Linked DNA regions of Astyanax mexicanus. The protein of the gene in region 2 interacts with the protein of the main gene of each other region in a pairwise test. Links are inferred from orthologs where the notes say so. Each region holds a gene or a part of one and is shown on either strand. Other genes may lie near its edges. The genes, in order: apolipoprotein L2-like and ergic3.

Region 1 (8,676 bases), on a different chromosome or scaffold from region 2:
CAGCGTCCTGAATCATTGCTACATCTCTGCTGTTTATAACAAATCAAACCGTGTGAAAATCGGGTATTAATCACCTTCCTCAGTGTAAATTAATACACTGGGTTGCCTCCTCCAATATGGCGCTCTCAATGTAAGAACACTTATTGTGATTGGCTGTAAGCATTTGAGGAGCTACAAGATGTTACAATCTTATCTGATCTGGTAAATGGCCTGTTTTAGCTGACTCCACCCTACATTTTATCGCTGGTCTCAATTTGTATTTTTGAGTTTTGAGTAAAAAAGGTTTTTAAGAGTTATACCCTAAATATCTAAAATCAAATTGCAGAAGATCTCAGACATTTCCTCCGTGGTGTTCTTCCATGAACTCCATTCTTTATTGTTTAATGTTTTCCTTATTGTAGATTTATCAACAAAAATGTGAGCATGTGCCAGAGATTTCTGTATTGAGTCTTCAGCTGACACTCTAGGATTCTTCCTCACCTCGTTGATCATTCTGCATGTGCTGTGCTCTTGCAGTCACCTTTACAGAACTTTCTCTATTCGTCTCTGTAGTGTCTGTCTTACCGTCGACACATGTACGTCAAGGCTTTTAGAGATACTTTTGTAACCCTTTCCAGCCCCGTAGGTCTTCTGAGAGCTTGGTCTTTTGTGTGAGGCATGATCACATCAAGCAATGCTTCTTAAGAACAGCAAACTCTAGACTGGTGTGTGTTTCTTATAGGGCAGGACAGCTTTAACCAACACATCCAATCTCATCTCATGCTGCCTCCAATTAGCTAGTACTTATTCTTTTAACTATATATTTTTCCTACTAATATGTATACTGTTACTTTATAATTCCATTCACTCTTTATTTTAAAACATTTTTATTCTATGTTTTACTCAAATAAAAATTTGAGGTGATCTTTTGTTATACATTAATTGCGGTTCTTTCTATAACTATATGAGGATATTAAAACACTTTTTTGCGTAAACACCGTTTTAATTGCTCTTTTCACCATTGTGGCCAAGTTTCATGATTTAGAAATGAAAGAAATATGGCTTTACTATTACTGACATAAATTTAATAATGTTACTGAGATACTATACTATAGGTGTAGACAAAACCCGTCTAATTACTCTCATTTGCCCACATCAGTTTGGAGAATATATTTTATTTTCTATTAGTTACAAAGTCTTACAACATGAGTTTTTTTTAAATATGTAAAACCCAACATTAGATTATTATTAAACAGAAAACAGTAACATTTTACATTGACTTGCAATAAAAGTTAAATACAGATCATTCCTGCATTATTTAATGTTAAGCTGTGCTGCATTCTCCCTGCAGTCTGTGGATAACCACCCTTTTAAGAAAATAAAGCCCCTTTAAAATCAGTGAATTTTTACACTGTTTTATTTTCAAGGAATTGAAGACACTTTCTGTATGTTCAGTTCAATTCAATTAATAATCAAAATTTTACTTAATATTTCTCATATTGTAATAAAATCAAACTAGTTTCAATATTGTCAGAAAATGTAAATGTATGTATATATGTACAGAAGAACAATTTATCATGACTGCAGCTCTAAACCAATCACTAAAATTGTCCAGTTATGCAGCTTGCATGCAAGTGAAAGTAAAACATAAACAAGCCTTCAGTCTTCAGTCTAAAGTCTTATAAATATGATGCATAAAGTACAAAAAAAATCCAAAATACACAAAAGAATAAAAATATTAAAAATATGCTCTACAGTATTTGAGTATATTTTAACCACATCAGTTTCTGCTATTTATAGGTTTATGTTTAAGTAAAATGAACATTGTTGTTTTATTCTATAAACTACAGACAACATTTCTCCCAAATTCCCAAATAAAAATATTATATTTAGAGCTTTTATTTACAGAAAATGAGAAATGACTGACCTCAAATAATGCAAAGAGAAAAAATTCATATTCATAAAGTTTTAAGAGTTCAGAAATAATCAATATTTGGTGGAATAATCCTGGTTGGTTTTTAATCACAGTTTTTTTTCATGCATCTTGGCATCATGTTCTCCTCCACCAGTCTTACACACTGCTTTTGGATAACTTTATGCTGCTTTACTCCTGGTGCAAAAATTCAAGCAGTTCAGTTTGGTGGTTTGATGGTTTGTGATCATCCATCTTCCTCTTGATTATATTCCAGAGGTTTTTAATTTGATAAAATCAAAGAATTCTTTGGTCTACAGTGATTGAGTGTTTTACAAAATGATAATACAAGTTTCAGTTCATTTTTTTATTTTTTTATCTTTGCGTCAAATTGCTGTCTGACTTCCTGAAGTCGATCCAGTGTTTGGTTCAGGTGATCAACATTTTCTTTCATTCCTTTAATGAACTTGCATATGGATGATTTTCCGTTTCCATTTCTCCGCTCTTTGTTCATTTCTCTGAGTTGTTTAAGATAGTAGCCAATAAGCAGAAGATCCATCAGGAGGAAGAGACATGCCAGGGCTCCTGTGATCACTCCGAATGCTGTTACTGCTTTAGATACCTGTGCTTCCTCTGCGCCTAAATTAACATAGACACCCAGACGTACGGCTTCAGCAGCGTAAAAGGGCTCTGTTCGTTAGCTTGTGATCTAGGCATTAAATCGATTTCGGACCCCTTGAAGTTGATCCAGTGTTTCAGTAAGTTGACCAACAGTGACCTTCATTCCCTTAATGAATTTACTTATGGCTGATTTTCCATTTCCATTATTAATATTGTATAGTTCTTTGGCGTCTTTGACAACGAAGACAACGTCCAGCACCAGAAAGAGACCTGCCAGAACTCCTGTAACTGCTCCAGCTGCTTTTACGGTTCTAGATACCTGTGCTGTTACTTTACCTATTTCAACAACGTTAACCAGTCGTAGTAGTTCTGCACTGTATCCTACCCCTCTGCCTAATCCGAATCCAATCTGTGCTTTTCGCCCTGATGGATCTGTAGGGTCAAATTGTTGTATCTCATCCAGCCTGATCTCTATTTCTTCCAGGTGTTTGAGAATGGGGGGAAGTTTGTCCTGAACTGTTTTCAGAATTTTTTCTATTTCTGTTCGTGAAACTTTCTGATTAATCAGGTCAGTGATGTTTGATGCCGCCCCTGCTACGCCTCCAGAAACAGCTACTCCTACACCCACTCCTGTTACAATCAGTGAGGCTCCCAGAGTAAATGGAGTGAGGGCAAGACCTACGATAGTCAAGATTCCTCCAACTGCACTAATCACTCCTCCTGAGAGGCTTCCAATAGTGGTGTTACGATGAATCTTCTCCACTCTCTCAGTGATTTCTTTCAGTTTATTGATTTGATTCTGGAGTTCAGAGATACTGCTGTCGAAGAGGGATGTAAATAAATTTATATTCCTAATGAGAGACTCCTCTGGTGGAACCCCTGTTGAGCACATTGGAGTTAAATTAGTGGAAGTGCATTTTTTTAACTTGTTGAAAAAAAAATGCTGCAAAACTTAACATACAGTTACAGTGGAATGAAAAAGTTTGGGCACCGCTGATCATTTTCATGGTTTTCCTTTATAAATCATTGGTTGTTTGGGCTATTTCATCACTGAAACATATAGGGATGGATACACTAGACCCTAGACCTGTGGTGACTCCACTTCTGAGAGACGCATCACTGCACTTCATGCTTAAATACAATTATTTAAAAGAAATAATGAGATAAATCTTACCGTTGTGTATAGAGGGAGGCTGCTCTATGCTGTGATTTGAATCAGAGCTGTCATCGCTGTCAGAGCTGCCGTATGTGGAGTTGATGAGTAGTTTGTGCTCGTCTGATGAGTCCATTTAATTGTTTTAATGATCCTTCTTGTTTAACTGAGCGTTGACAGAATGTTTATGAAGTACCGCCCAGTTCACTTTCAGCTTCAAAGTCAATCCTGTAACCAGAAGAAACCAGAAAAATTAACTGCTAGAAATACGCTGGCATTAGACCTCCAATAACAAATGTAGTTGGGTAATCAAGGTCCAGATATACAGCTCTGACGCAGAGATCACTTCAGTTTCTGAATCAGTTTCTCTGATTTTGCTATTTATAGGTTTATATTTGAGTAAAATGAACATTGTTGTTTTATTCTATAAACTACAGACAACATTTCTCCCAAATTACAAATAAAAATATTCTCATTTAGAGCATTTATTTACAGAAAATGAGAAATGACTGAAATAACAAAAAAGATGCAGAGCTTTCAGACCTTAAAGCATACCTCGAGCAGAAAAAGTTTCATACTGAAAAAAATACTTTTAACTATATTTATGAAGATTTCCAAACTTTAACATAACAGCAGGGTTAATCACAGTTTTTCATGCATCTTGTCATCATGTTCTCCTCCACCAGTCTTACACACTGCTTTTGGATAACTTTATGCTGCTTTACTCCTGGTGTAAAAATTCAAGCAGTTCAGTTTGGTGGTTTGATGGTTCGTGATCATCCATCTTCCTCTTGATTATATTTTAGAGGGTTTCAATTGGATAAAATCAAAGAATTCTTTGGTCTACATTTTTAAGTGCTCTCTTATTTTCTTCCAGAGCTGTAAACTTTTCTAAGCTGTAACAATTCTTAATTGGTGTACAAATACTCCACTTAGAGGAATTAGAATACAAATTTGATGCCACAGACTGGAGTGAAAGTTTGGATTGACTTTAATAAACAGGGCCAAACCAGAAAACCTGGAATACTCACTCAATACTTATTGAGATTTTAAGAGATAAACCAACGCAAAGTAGCACATCATCGTGAAGTGCAATGAAAATGATAGTTTACAAAATTTTATTCAAATAAAAACGTCAAAAAGTGTGATGCAAGTATTCATTCCCCTTTACTCTCAACCACTTAAATAAAATCCAGTGCAGTCAGTTGCCATCAAAAGTCATATTTTGTTTAATTAGAATAGATAGATTAATGAGTTAATAGAGTTAATCCAGCTGTGTGTAATTTAGTCTCTGTACAAATACAGCTGTTCTCTGAAGACCTCAGTAGTTTGTTTGTTAGTGAACACTAGTGAACACACAGCATCATGAAGACCAACAATGAAAAACTCACCAGACAGGCCAGAGATAAAGTTGCGGAGAAGAAGATAAAGGTTTAAAGCAGGGTTAGATTATAAAAACACATCCCAAGCTTTGATCATCCCAAACAGCTCTGTTCATCAATCCATCATCTAAAAGCCAATAAACCTGAAAAAGTATTCTACAACTGTTCCTACAATCCTACCAAGATATGAACCAATCATCCACCCAAACTAACAGATCCAGCAAATAGAGCCGAGAGGCCCATGATCACTCTGGAGGAGCTGCAGAGATCCACAGCTCAGGAGGATGAGGAGAATCTGTCCACAGGACAACTATGAGTCCTGCACACCCAGTCCCCACTGTGAAACATCACACTTTTCAGATTTTTATTTGATTACAATAAAAAAACATGTATAATTTTGGTTTAATATCTCAGTAATGAGCTACTATATAAAAAGACAATATGTGAAAAAGTTCAAGGGCCACAAAAAATTTGCAAGCCACTGTACATGATACTAGGCTTAACACACACTTCCTTTTCCTGAAAATTGTGTATTTAAATATATAACAATAACAATAATGTACTTGAACCTATATGCGGAATAATTAAATTGTATCTTTCCTCCTTGAACATACATTGTTACCTTAGCTTAATCTGTATTTCAGTATACTTTTAAAAGTACACTTTATTTGGCTGTGCTAATTTTGTTCAGGTAATGTACTTAATAAAAATATATGCTTAGTATAGTTTCATAAAACATGAATTTTGCTACCAAAACTGTCATTTTGTGTTTACAAATTAAAACTGTGATAATGTGATAAACGGTTTTGTCTAAAAACTTTACTTTAAAAGTTTACTTTAGTTAGTTTAGTGTAAGTAAAAGATTGAAAGATTGAACAGCTGATTCTTAGATTTGTAGATTTGTTTTTACCAGTTTATATACACTCATCAAAATGAATGTGATGTTAAATCCTCTCTTTAATCACACTTTTGATATGTTTTCAATGTTCAGTCGGACACTGCTCACACAAATTATGCTTGAATTGTATTAAATAGTGGTGAAAATAACATATAACATATGACTATAAACATTTTTTTTTTTACAAAGGATGCTGTGGTGAGCAGTAATCTATTTATTTATAAAGCTTTATAAAATCATAGATGGCACTTACCTCACAGGTAGGATCTCCTGAAGTGATGGAAGTAATGTAAGGGAGGTTCAGGCTGTGTTCACTTATTATTTCACTTTGTCACATGTTTCTGGAGAGTAAATATTTGCTAAAAGAGCAGTTTATTTCACTCTCTGTTAAAGATAAAACATAATATATAAAAAATAATAATTCAGAAATAATAAATCATGCTGGATTCCTATTTAGGATTTATGGGCATTAAGCCCAGTTTTTGTCTATATTTTCATTTCAATAGAAAAACTCTATTTAAAATACTGTCAAATCTTAAAATAAATCCAAGACTAGGCTTAATCCCTGAGGAGGTTTAGAGGTTTAGAACACATATTAAAATATAGATATAACCTACGGGGTTAAATGTCTGAATCTCCTCACTGTAACCTCTTTTAGTTTCTTTTTGTTTCCATGATTGTTTTTTTAGATGCTTGCTGAAGGATCATTGCTGTCATTGTTTATTCTCCTGGTCAGTATTTACATTAAAGTGCTCATATCCTGCTTCCTCACCACCTGACAATGTTTTATATAATCAGGCATTTAGTGTTTGACAAAAACATCAGGACACTTTCTAGTCATCGTTTCTTTTAAAATAAATGATATTAAATGAGTTTATTCTGCTTTTGTTGCAATAACTGTCTCTCTACTGTCCAGAGACGTCTTTCAAAAGTTTGTCATGTGCACAGTAAGAAACGATAAGAAAAGTTTCCTCATACAATGAAATTCTTTCTTTTGTTCCTCACTAAAGGCAAATGTAGCTTTTATCCCCCCTCCCAAGCGCAATGCGAGGAACGACTAATGACGGGGCCCTTTCAATGCGTCTGGGGGCCCCAAGCAAAATGGACCAAAGCCTACAGGACCCACAGCATAGACACACTGTTTATGTTCACCCACACATTTTTGCATTTTTAAATTTTACAGTATTTATCTTATCTAGAGTCACAAGGTTATTTCTATTATAGAGTTTGGCCACTGTAGTGCTAGGAGTCTTTCCTAAAGTTTTCTTATTGGTGTAGTACTCTTTCTGGTTTTATGTTGAGACTCTATGGGTTCTGCTAGCGTAGGATATGAAGTTAAACACAAAGATTACTTTAGTAGGGGATTTAAAAATAAATCAGATTTTTGCTGATCCAGCAAAAATGAGTGCAGTGTTGTTGTTGGTCTGTGTCGGGCAATAGGAGTGAGCTCTGTAATGTTCAGGGTTTAGCCTCAAAATATAAGGATAACTACTACTTTTTTTTTTTTTTTGATGCACGCCACTCGTAACGGGAGTGAGTGCAGTCAGAGACAACTGAGCATGTTCCTCGAGCAGAGCCCTCCCTCAGTTACTGGCAGTGTTTAAAAAAGGAAAGATCAGAACTAGAAAATGTTCAAGAAATGTCTTTATTACATCACTCAATTATAAGTAATTACGTTGGAACTTAACCAAGTAATTGGGCAAATAATTAATTTTAACTTTGTGTTTAATTCCACATAAAAAGCAAAAAGAAAATTATGAAGCTAAAATCATTTACACTGGTATAAAGCACTGCTAACAATAAAATGACTTAAGTCCAAAATAGATAATCAAGAGGAAGATGGATGATCACAAACCATCAAACCACCAAACTGAACTGCTTGAATTTTTGCACCAGGAGTAAAGCAGCATAAAGTTATCCAAAAGCAGTGTGTAAGACTGGTGGAGGAGAACATGATGCCAAGATGCATGAAATTAAAACTGTGATTAAAAACTACCAGGGTTATTCCACCAAATATTGATTTCTTGCCATTATTTCAGCCATTTCTATTCGCATTCCGCAAATAAATGCTCTAAATGACAATATTGTTTTTTTGGATTTGTAATTCGGGAGTAATGTTTATAGTCCGTAGTTTATAAAATAAAACAACAATGTTCATTTTACTCAAACATATAACTATAAATAGCAAAATCAGAAATACAGTATATATCGAATTCATCCTTCTTTTACGGTGTAAAGTAAAGCTGTGAAGCTTGTGTTAGCATATTGTGTTTTCTCATTAGCTCGTTAGCATGTTAGCTCGTTAGCATGCGTGGAGACGGGAGGCGCTGCAGCGTTTTGATGGCGCTCTTGATATCGCCCACTGCTTGCTTAAGAGTCTGTATGATTTCTTTCATCTTCTGGAGGAATTGAACCGTATTGGACTTGATTTGGCTGCTGCTGGGCGGATTCTCCAGTTCCTCCAGTTCTCTGTAATCGCTGACGATGAAGAAGATATCCAGCACGACGAAGATGCTGGACACTACAGTCATGACCGTGGCTACGGATCTGAGAGTCCTGCCTACAAGCATTCCTGATTCGGCGATGGTTTCCATTATTTCCTTCATCATTATTCCCCGTAATCTGAGGTTGAATTGACCCTCGTTCTCTCGCGGCAGCTTCTTGAGTTTAATCTGGATGTCCTCCAGGCACTTGTTGATGGGCGAGAGTCTTTTGTTAAATATTTCCAGGG
Region 2 (8,960 bases):
TGTGATGGGCCTTAAAATCTGACACTTAAATTCATATATAATATTATCATTTAAATGTGTACAGGAGGGCTGGCCACAGGATAACGCAGGATAAAATATAAAATTAAAGTTTTATCTGTGTGAAACTGTTGAAGCAGAACGTGCTCTTGGTTTTCTTCTTGTTTTCCTACAGAAACACTGTCAGCAGCTTTTACTGTATTTAGTATTTAGTGTTTACTGGGTGCTGTGGGACTGAACTGTGTGGAGAATTTTCAGAATTTAATCAGATATATTATTTGATCTTCTCTTAGTGACTAACAGAAGCTCCTTTTTCTGCTGATCAGATCTGAATTTCACTCCAGTTTTTTAAGCAGAGAACCGGTTCTTCTTCTTCTTCTTCTTCTCCAAACTAAAACTCAGTTTTTCTACATTCCATCTCTCTGTGTTTAAGATGCAGAATAAATCAGGTTGAACCGGTTGTCCAGTTTTACTGAAGCAGAAGATTAAAACTAAAGACTCACTTCAGATCTTCAGTCTCGGCTCCGTAGCAGCTCTCGCAGCGCTCAGGATCCAGTTTACTGGGGTCGAATATCTCTCCCTCCTCCTGACCCAGATCTATTCACAAAACACAAAACTGAACATTCAGTTTATTTATATTTATTAATTATACAAACTTAATAAAACATTCCTCCTTAAACGAACGTACTTTATTTAGAGTACGGTACTGCTGCCAACCATCACCGATCAGCTCTAGTATAAATATTACAGTTTCATTCTTCCTGAAAAAAATCACCCCTAAATACATATATTTTTCTTCTTTATTGATTGTTCAGTCCCGTTTCTCACACTGCAGCAGAACTGAACTCCAGTCTGAAATAAACAGCAATCAGATCGAGTTTCTACTGAGGATTCAGACGCAGGGTGAGATTTACACACCACAAAAACATTTTAGTAAAAAGCTGATTTTATATAGTAAGTAAAAACTACAGGCAGGAAAAGTTTAGAAGGAGAGTTTAGAGAACTGGACTAACAGACGTTAAATTCAAGATCAGGAACGTTAAACAGATACTAACCGTGTTTTTCTGCCTCAGAACTGACGGGTTTTCCGTCTTTATCCAGCCTCTGTTTAAACAGGTTGTGCTCCACGTCCAGCTGCTGCTCTCCCGCCACGTCCATCGCATCAATACTCAGATCTGAGAGTCAGAAATAACAATAAATAAACTCTGATATGTAATGCTGGGTGATGCTGATAAAACCTAATACTGTACCGGGATATGAGTATGAGATATAAGGATTTTCAACACGTCAATTTTAAAAGTTAAAAAAAGTAAAAATGTATTAAATGGTAAAAATTTATTAATTTGAAAACATAAGCACGCTTTATCAAAAATCAGTTTACAAGATTTAAAGGGACTATAGGCAGGACTTAATCAATTATTCATAATTTTTCAAGAAATAGAATTGCAGCTTCAAAAGAGAATTCTTCCGGAGAATAAAGAGTAAATAAAAAGTCCGAGCTGAAGAGCTTATTGATGGACTGGTTAAAAAAAATATATATTATTTATATTATATTTATACTATATTACATTTTATATGTCATATAATCTAGTCGTAACGTTACTTCACTGTGTTGTACTGCAGGTTTTGTTAATTAGAGTGTATTACGGTTATATATGAGGTAATATTGAGATATTTGAGCATATTGTGATCCGGTGCAGAACTCCAGACTATGATGGAAATATTAATTTTAGTAAGTGATGGTAAAAGCTTTGGATTTTTACTGAACTGGGTTTTATAAACTGGGTAATCACAGTCATGATTTAAACATGGTTTATCATTTATCAGTAACATTTAATCTTTAACATGATGAAAAACAATAATAATCCCTCGCAGTTTTGTACAGAACATGGGGATCAGGAGAGTTACTCACAGGCACACGGCATGTGAGGAAACACAACATCAATGTTGATCTTCAGCTTGTCTCCTCTCGAAGTGTCCACAAACAGTTCAGGGTGGACCTGAAACCAGAGACAATAAATGTCCTAATTTTTAATGAATTGTCATTAAAACAGAATGACACAATGAAGGTTCTGCAGGCCTCGAGCACAGCAGGAGAACATCAGCCTGTATAAACAAATCAGCAACACTGATTAATTAGTTCTATTACAGGAAAACAATGTATAACATTTCTACTCGAACTGTTATGTTTTATCAGATTGTTTTTATATTAAACTGTATGTATGTTTTAATTGTGCTACAAAATGATTATCAGTAGTTGCAGAATCTGGTACTAAAACTGCTATTACTGTAATTAGTAGTAGAAGTAGTGATAACAAAAGTAATTGTAATGTAAAATTGATATAGTACTAATATTAGCATAATTATTATTATTAAGAGTAGTATTAGTGGTATTGGTAGTAGTACTAGAACTGATAAATGTTTTTACTATGATTACGGATAAGAAGGAGTGGGGTCGGGGGGTTAAGTGTGGTGAGAGTATAGGGGAGGAAAGGGGCTCTGTGTATAAATCTAGTTGTTCAGTGCAGCATTTATCATCTTCCTGTATTGTGTTTCTTAAAATTAATATTAATAATAAGATTAGTATTTAAATTACAGTGATTATTTATTTTATGTTAATTTAAAGCACACTCACCTCCTTGGTAAGATAATACTGTAACTCTGAGAAAAACAGGATCAGCATGATCAGTCCGCTGATGATCGTAACTGAAAACAGGGAAAAAGTTAGTCTTCAGGGTTTAATACGAATTCTCTTAGTTTAGCACAGCAGAATACTATTCTGTTCTATTATTAACTTCATTATTAAATTGATCGCTGGACAGCAGCACCTGAGCTCAGTTTAACCCCCTATAGCATGATCTTTGTATTTGTTTAGAAAATATATATTTTAGCCTACTATTTAGATCCAGTTTTTACATGAATAAAATAAGAACCACTGATTTATCATGCTCGCTTCGTTTTGTAGCTGCATAATGTTTAGTAGAGGCAACAATTCATAACAGTGTTTTAATAAGTGAAAGTAAACAAAATAGCCACATACAAAATAACGAAACAGTACAATAATAACAAAATAATGAAGGTACATATAATAATCTTATAATTACATATATATTAAACATAAGAAAACAGCCACACAGGGTTAAAATGCTGTTTCACTTTAAAGCTTCATTTAAATCTTCAGTAAAATGCAGTGTTGAGTTCAGTGTTTGTAGGAACTGTGAGTTCCACCTTAAATGTCGCGGCTGTTCTATTCCAGCGCATCAGGCGACACTGCTGTAGCAGCGGGGAGATTTAAGGTGGACAGGATAGTTCCTACAGCAGGGTGAGTGTAGCGCGGTGACCCGCCGCTTCCCGCCGGGGTTCGGTTCGGTCTGGGCGGGGCAGGAACTCACCGGTCGCTCCGCCGCAGGTTTTGATCCTGAAGTCCTCCAGAGTTTTGGGATAAGCGTCAAACTGCTTCAGTTTATTCAGCGCCTCCATCTTTCCCTCTGCGATCCGGTTCACTTCCGCTCCGCACCGGATACACCGCACTCTCTCTGCCAATCAGATCACACCGCGTCGGTTACTATAGATCTACACAACACGGGATTTACTGTCTGAGGATCTGCTGTAGATCAGTTATTGTGGATCAGTTACTGTAGATCTGTAGATCAGTTACTGTAGATCTGTTACTGTAGATCAGTTACTGTAGATCAGTTACTGTAGAGCTGTAGATCAGTTACTGTAGATCTGTAGAGCATTTACTGTAGATCAGTTACTGTAGATCTGTAGATTAGTTACTGTAGATCTGTAGATCAGTTACTGTAGATCAGTTACTGTAGATCAGTTACTGTAGATCTGTAGAGCATTTACTGTAGATCAGTTACTGTAGATCTGTAGATCAGTTACTGTAGATCTGTTACTGTAGATATGTAGATCAGTTACTGTAGATCAGTTACTGTAGATCAGTTACTGTAGATCAGTTACTGTAGATCTGTAGATCAGTTACTGTAGATCTGTTACTGTAGATATGTAGATCAGTTACTGTAGATCAGTTACTGTAGATTAGTTACTGTAGATATGTAGATCAGTTACTGTAGATCTGTTACTGTAGATCAGTTACTGTAGATCTGTAGATCAGTTACTGTAGATCAGTTACTGTAGATCTGTAGAGCATTTACTGTAGATCCGTTACTGTAAATCTGTAGATCAGTTACTGTAGATCAGTTACTGTAGATCTGTAGATCAGTTACTGTAGATCAGTTACTGTAGATCAGTTACTGTAGATCTGTAGATCAGTTACTGTAGATCAGTTACTGTAGATCAGTTACTGTAAATCTGTAGATCAGTTACTGTAGATCAGTTACTGTAGATCAGTTACTGTAGATCTGTAGATCAGTTACTGTAAATCTGTAGATCAGTTACTGTAGATCAGTTACTGTAGATCTGTAGATCAGTTACTGTAGATCTGTAGATCAATTACTGTTTAAGGTTATGGCAGATTGTGTATGTTATGTAGCTGGATAAAACAGGTTGAATGATATTTACACTGTTAATAATTTTCTATATTTCAGGCTCAGTAATGCAGATCCTACGGTGGCCCTGAAGTGCAAAACAAATTAACATGTCAGAAAACAAAATTACAAAAACTAAAACACATTTACAAAACTTAAAACAAATTTACAAGACGCAAAACACTTTTACAAATACTGAAACACTTTTACAAACACTGAAACACTTTTACAAACACTGAAACACTTTTACAAACGCTAAAACACTTTTACAAACGCTGAAACACTTTTACAAACGCTGAAACACTTTTACAAACGCTGAAACACTTTTACAAACGCTGAAACACTTTTACAAACGCTAAAACACTTTTACAAACGCTGAAACACTTTTACAAACGCTGAAACACTTTTACAAACGCTGAAACACTTTTACAAACTGCGATTTCTGACGGAAAGGGAGGGTCTAACACACAGGAAGTGCTTGATGCGGACCCTCCTTGTCAGTCAAGCTGCGTTACGATGAGAGAGTGGAGTTATGGACACTAAACTATGTTTTGTGGCACGTATTTTAGCAGCAGCAGTAAATACTTAAACTATCCCTGTCCTGTTGCTACCCCCGCCGCGGGGTTCACCTAATACCCCGGGGGTTCAGCTAATGCCACGCGGCCATCAGCCACTGCCCCCGCCGCGGGGTTCACCTAATACCCCGGGGGTTCAGCTAATGCCACGCGGCCATCAGCCACTGCCCCCGCCGCGGGGTTCACCTAATACCCCGGGGGTTCAGCTAATGCCACGCGGCCATCAGCCACTGCCCCCGCCGCGGGGTTCAGCTAATGCCCCACGGAGTTCAGCCACTGCCCCGCGGGGTTCAGCCACTCCTGTACTGTATTACCTGAACCCCGCGGGGCAGTGGCTGATGGCCGCCGGGCATTAGCTGAACCCCGCGGCGGGGGCAGTGGCTGATAACCGCGGGGCAGTGGCTGAACCCCCGGGGTATTAGGAGAACCCCGCGGCGGGGGCAGTGGCTGATAACCGCGGCGCAGTGGCTGATGGCCGCCGGGCATTAGCTGAACCCCGCGGCGGGGGCAGTGACTGATAACCGAGGGGCAGTGGCTGAACCCCCGGGGTATTAGGTGAACCCCGCGGCGGGGGCAGTGGCTGATAACCGCGGGGCAGTGGCTGATGGCCGCCGGGCATTAGGTGAACCCCGCGGCGGGGGTAGTGGCTGATGGCCGCGTGGCATTAGCTGAACCCCCGGGGTATTAGGTGAACCCCGCGGCGGGGGTAGCAACAGGACAGGGATAGTTTAAGTATTTACTGCTGCTGCTAAAATACGTGCCACAAAACATAGTTTGGTGTTCATAACTCAACTCTCTCATCGTAACGCAGCTTGACTGACAAGGAGGGTCCGCATCAAGCACTTCCTGTGTGTTAGACCCTCCCTTTCCGTCAGAAATCGCAGTTTGTAAAAGTGTTTCAGCGTTTGTAAAAGTGTTTCAGCGTTTGTAAAAGTGTTTCAGCGTTTGTAAAAGTGTTTCAGTATTTGTAAAAGTGTTTCAGCGTTTGTAAAAGTGTTTCAGTATTTGTAAAAGTGTTTTAGCATTTGTAAAAGTGTTTCAGTATTTGTAAAAGTGTTTCAGCGTTTGTAAAAGTGTTTTAGTGCTGGTAAAAGTGTTTCAGTGTTTGTAAAAGTGTTTCAGTATTTGTAAAAGTGTTTTGCGTCTTGTAAATTTGTTTTAAGTTTTGTAAATGTGTTTTAGTTTTTGTAATTTTGTTTTCTGACATGTTAATTTGTTTTGCACTTCAGGGCCACCGTAAGATCCAGCGTCTCTGTTCTACTCTCTCGGTACCTGAGTGATGCGAGCAGCTGCTGAGAGTTTTTGTTTATTCAAATTCACATATACATCTACACAAATCCGCACAAACAAGTGTACCGAGCATTTACATAAATCACACCTGTGATTCACTCTGCCTCTGGGGACATGTGCTAGGGATCATGGTGTAGTGATCATGGTATAGTGATCTGTTGATATGTTGAGTTATGACTTTTAGTATCTGTTGATTAGGTTTTGATGTGATGAGTTGTTGTTAAAGTAGCTCACTATTACTAGTAGTCTCCACTCTGCTGTTCAGCCTTATTGGTGTTACTGGTTTGAGTAACTGGTATAAAGCTTGTAAGATCTGTAAACCAGTACAGGAGTTTATATGTTGTAAATCAGAAGGTGTGTTTTTAGCATTACATACAAAATCTCCTTTCTTAAGGCAGAAATAAAGACTGGAATCTTAGACAGATGGGAAAATTCTCACTGCATTAGAAATTAATTCACAGCTGTATTAGGAAATCTAAATCACTGTGTGAATCTGATTACTTGCTCTTGGACAAATCCAGTTAATATTCAGTGCATAATAATAATCCTTAATCGAAAATTTCACCTTAAACTGCAGTGGAATTCTGTCTGATAACAGAGCGAGAGAAGACGTGTGTAACGTTTAACAAACACTATTCACCTGAGTATGTTACCTATATCTAAATCTCTCTACAGTCCCCCGTATCTGAAAATAATTATAGCTGTTATTATTACTAAGCATATTAAGAATACTTTACTAAGAATAAGAATACTTATTAATTATAATATGAAAATCTCAAACAATTAGAGCTTTATCAGTAAAGGAGCTACACCTGATATAAATCAGCAAAATCTCTACACAAGTCTGTATAAGAACCAGGAAGATCTGAACCTTTAATACGATTTAATAAGATTTAATACAATGTGCTTCTAGGAATAGAGAACTTCAAAACATTGAGCTTCATAACCTGCAATTTGGGAAAAAAATATTTTAAAATAAACTGCAGTAAATTATATCAATCCTAAAAGCACACCTTTGAATAATGAGCAGCTGCTGTTTGCATAAAGCTGCTCTATTGGACAGAAAAACACAAACAGCTCAGAGGAGACCAATCCCACAGTCTGAAAGTGTCTGAACTTCAGAATCTCAGAGTCTCAGACTGACGACAGAGCTGTAACTCATCTCTACAGAACCGTAAGACTTATCTTTCTTCTTCCACTTTCTGTAAAAGAGCTTTACTGGGTTTTCATCAGCATTTCTGCACAAAATACAAAATATTTAATCTTTATTTTACTAATTAAAAAGTTGAGTTTGAGATGCTGGAGGTTTTTGTGAGGCAGAAGGTTGTTCTGGAGCTCATGAGAGCTGGATGGGTTTAGATGCTCCAGGGTGGGTCTGGGAGAAAATATGTATTATATGTTTTACATCATGTAAAACTGTGTATTTATAACACAATAAAAAGTGGGTCCTATAGATTTTTAGACTGATTAACTCTGGATTACTGTCCTCCAGTAATGGCTTCTTATTGGTTTCATGGGTTCTTAAACCAAAATGCTTGACTGGAATTACAGAAGCGTAAAAAAATTTCCCAGTCAAATTTCAGACTTAAGCAAATCCTGACAGATTCAAATGTTGTCTTACTGCAGAGCAAATAAATCAACTTCAATCTCATCAAATTTTACATTTAATTCATAATTTTTTCTCAATAGTTGTTTATATTAAAAATCTATTTAAAAATGTTTAAAATTTTTTCCTTATTTGTCCTTAATGTCCAGCAATAATTTAACCTAACCCAACCCAACCCAACCTAACCCAACCCGACCCAACCTAACCCAACCTGACCCAACCCAAACCAAACCAACCTGACCCAACCCCACCTAACCCAACCTGACCCAACCCAAACCAAACCAACCTGACCCAACCCCACCTAACCCAACCTAACCCAACCTGACCCAACCCCACCCAACCTAACCCAACCTGACCCAACCCCACCCAACCTGACCCAACCCAAACCAAACCAACCTGACCCAACCCAACCCCACCTAACCCAACCCAACCCCACCTAACCCAACCCAACCCCACCTAACCCAACCCAACCCAACCTAACCCCACCCAACCTGACCCAACCCCACCCAACCTAACCCAACCTAACCCAACCCCACCCAACCTCACCCAACCTGACCCAACCCAAATCAAACCAACCTGACCCAACCCCACCCAACCTAACCCAACCCAACCAACCCAACCCAACCTGACCCAACCCCACCCAACGTAACCCAACCTGACCCAACCCAACCCAACCTGACCCAACCCCACCCAACCTAACCCAACCCAACCAACCTAACCCAACCTGACCCAACCTAACCCAACCCAACCTGACCCAACCCGACCTGACCTAACCCGTCCTAACCTAACCCAACCCAACCTGACCCAACCCCACCTAACCCAACCTGACCTAACCCAACCCCTTCTAACCTAACCCAACCCGACCTAACCTAATCCAACCTCAACCCAACCCAACCCCAATTCAACCCAACCCAACCCGACCCAACCTTAACCCAACCTCAACTCACCCCCACCTAACCCAACACAACCTGACCTAACCTAACCTCAACCTTACCTCAA

The links.
Region 1: the proteins of ergic3 (region 2) and apolipoprotein L2-like interact in binary tests that used the Homo sapiens proteins (3 or more experiments, as listed by UniProt). The link is inferred for Astyanax mexicanus from reciprocal best matches to the Homo sapiens genes ERGIC3 and APOL2.

The regions. Positions count from the first base shown.
Region 1 is NC_064432.1:26,311,095-26,319,770, reverse strand, and holds apolipoprotein L2-like, read right to left. Parts: upstream 3,885-8,676; 5' UTR 3,802-3,884; coding exon 3,687-3,801; intron 3,392-3,686; coding exon 2,601-3,391; 3' UTR 1,932-2,600; downstream 1-1,931. Other genes in the region: apolipoprotein L3-like, read right to left, coding at 8,240-8,676.
Region 2 is NC_064412.1:58,218,577-58,227,536, forward strand, and holds the start of ergic3 (endoplasmic reticulum-Golgi intermediate compartment protein 3), read right to left. Parts: upstream 3,541-8,960; 5' UTR 3,478-3,540; coding exon 3,390-3,477; intron 2,704-3,389; coding exon 2,633-2,703; intron 1,998-2,632; coding exon 1,910-1,997; intron 1,173-1,909; coding exon 1,053-1,172; intron 595-1,052; coding exon 501-594; intron 1-500. UniProt on the Homo sapiens protein: Possible role in transport between endoplasmic reticulum and Golgi. Positively regulates trafficking of the secretory proteins SERPINA1/alpha1-antitrypsin and HP/haptoglobin.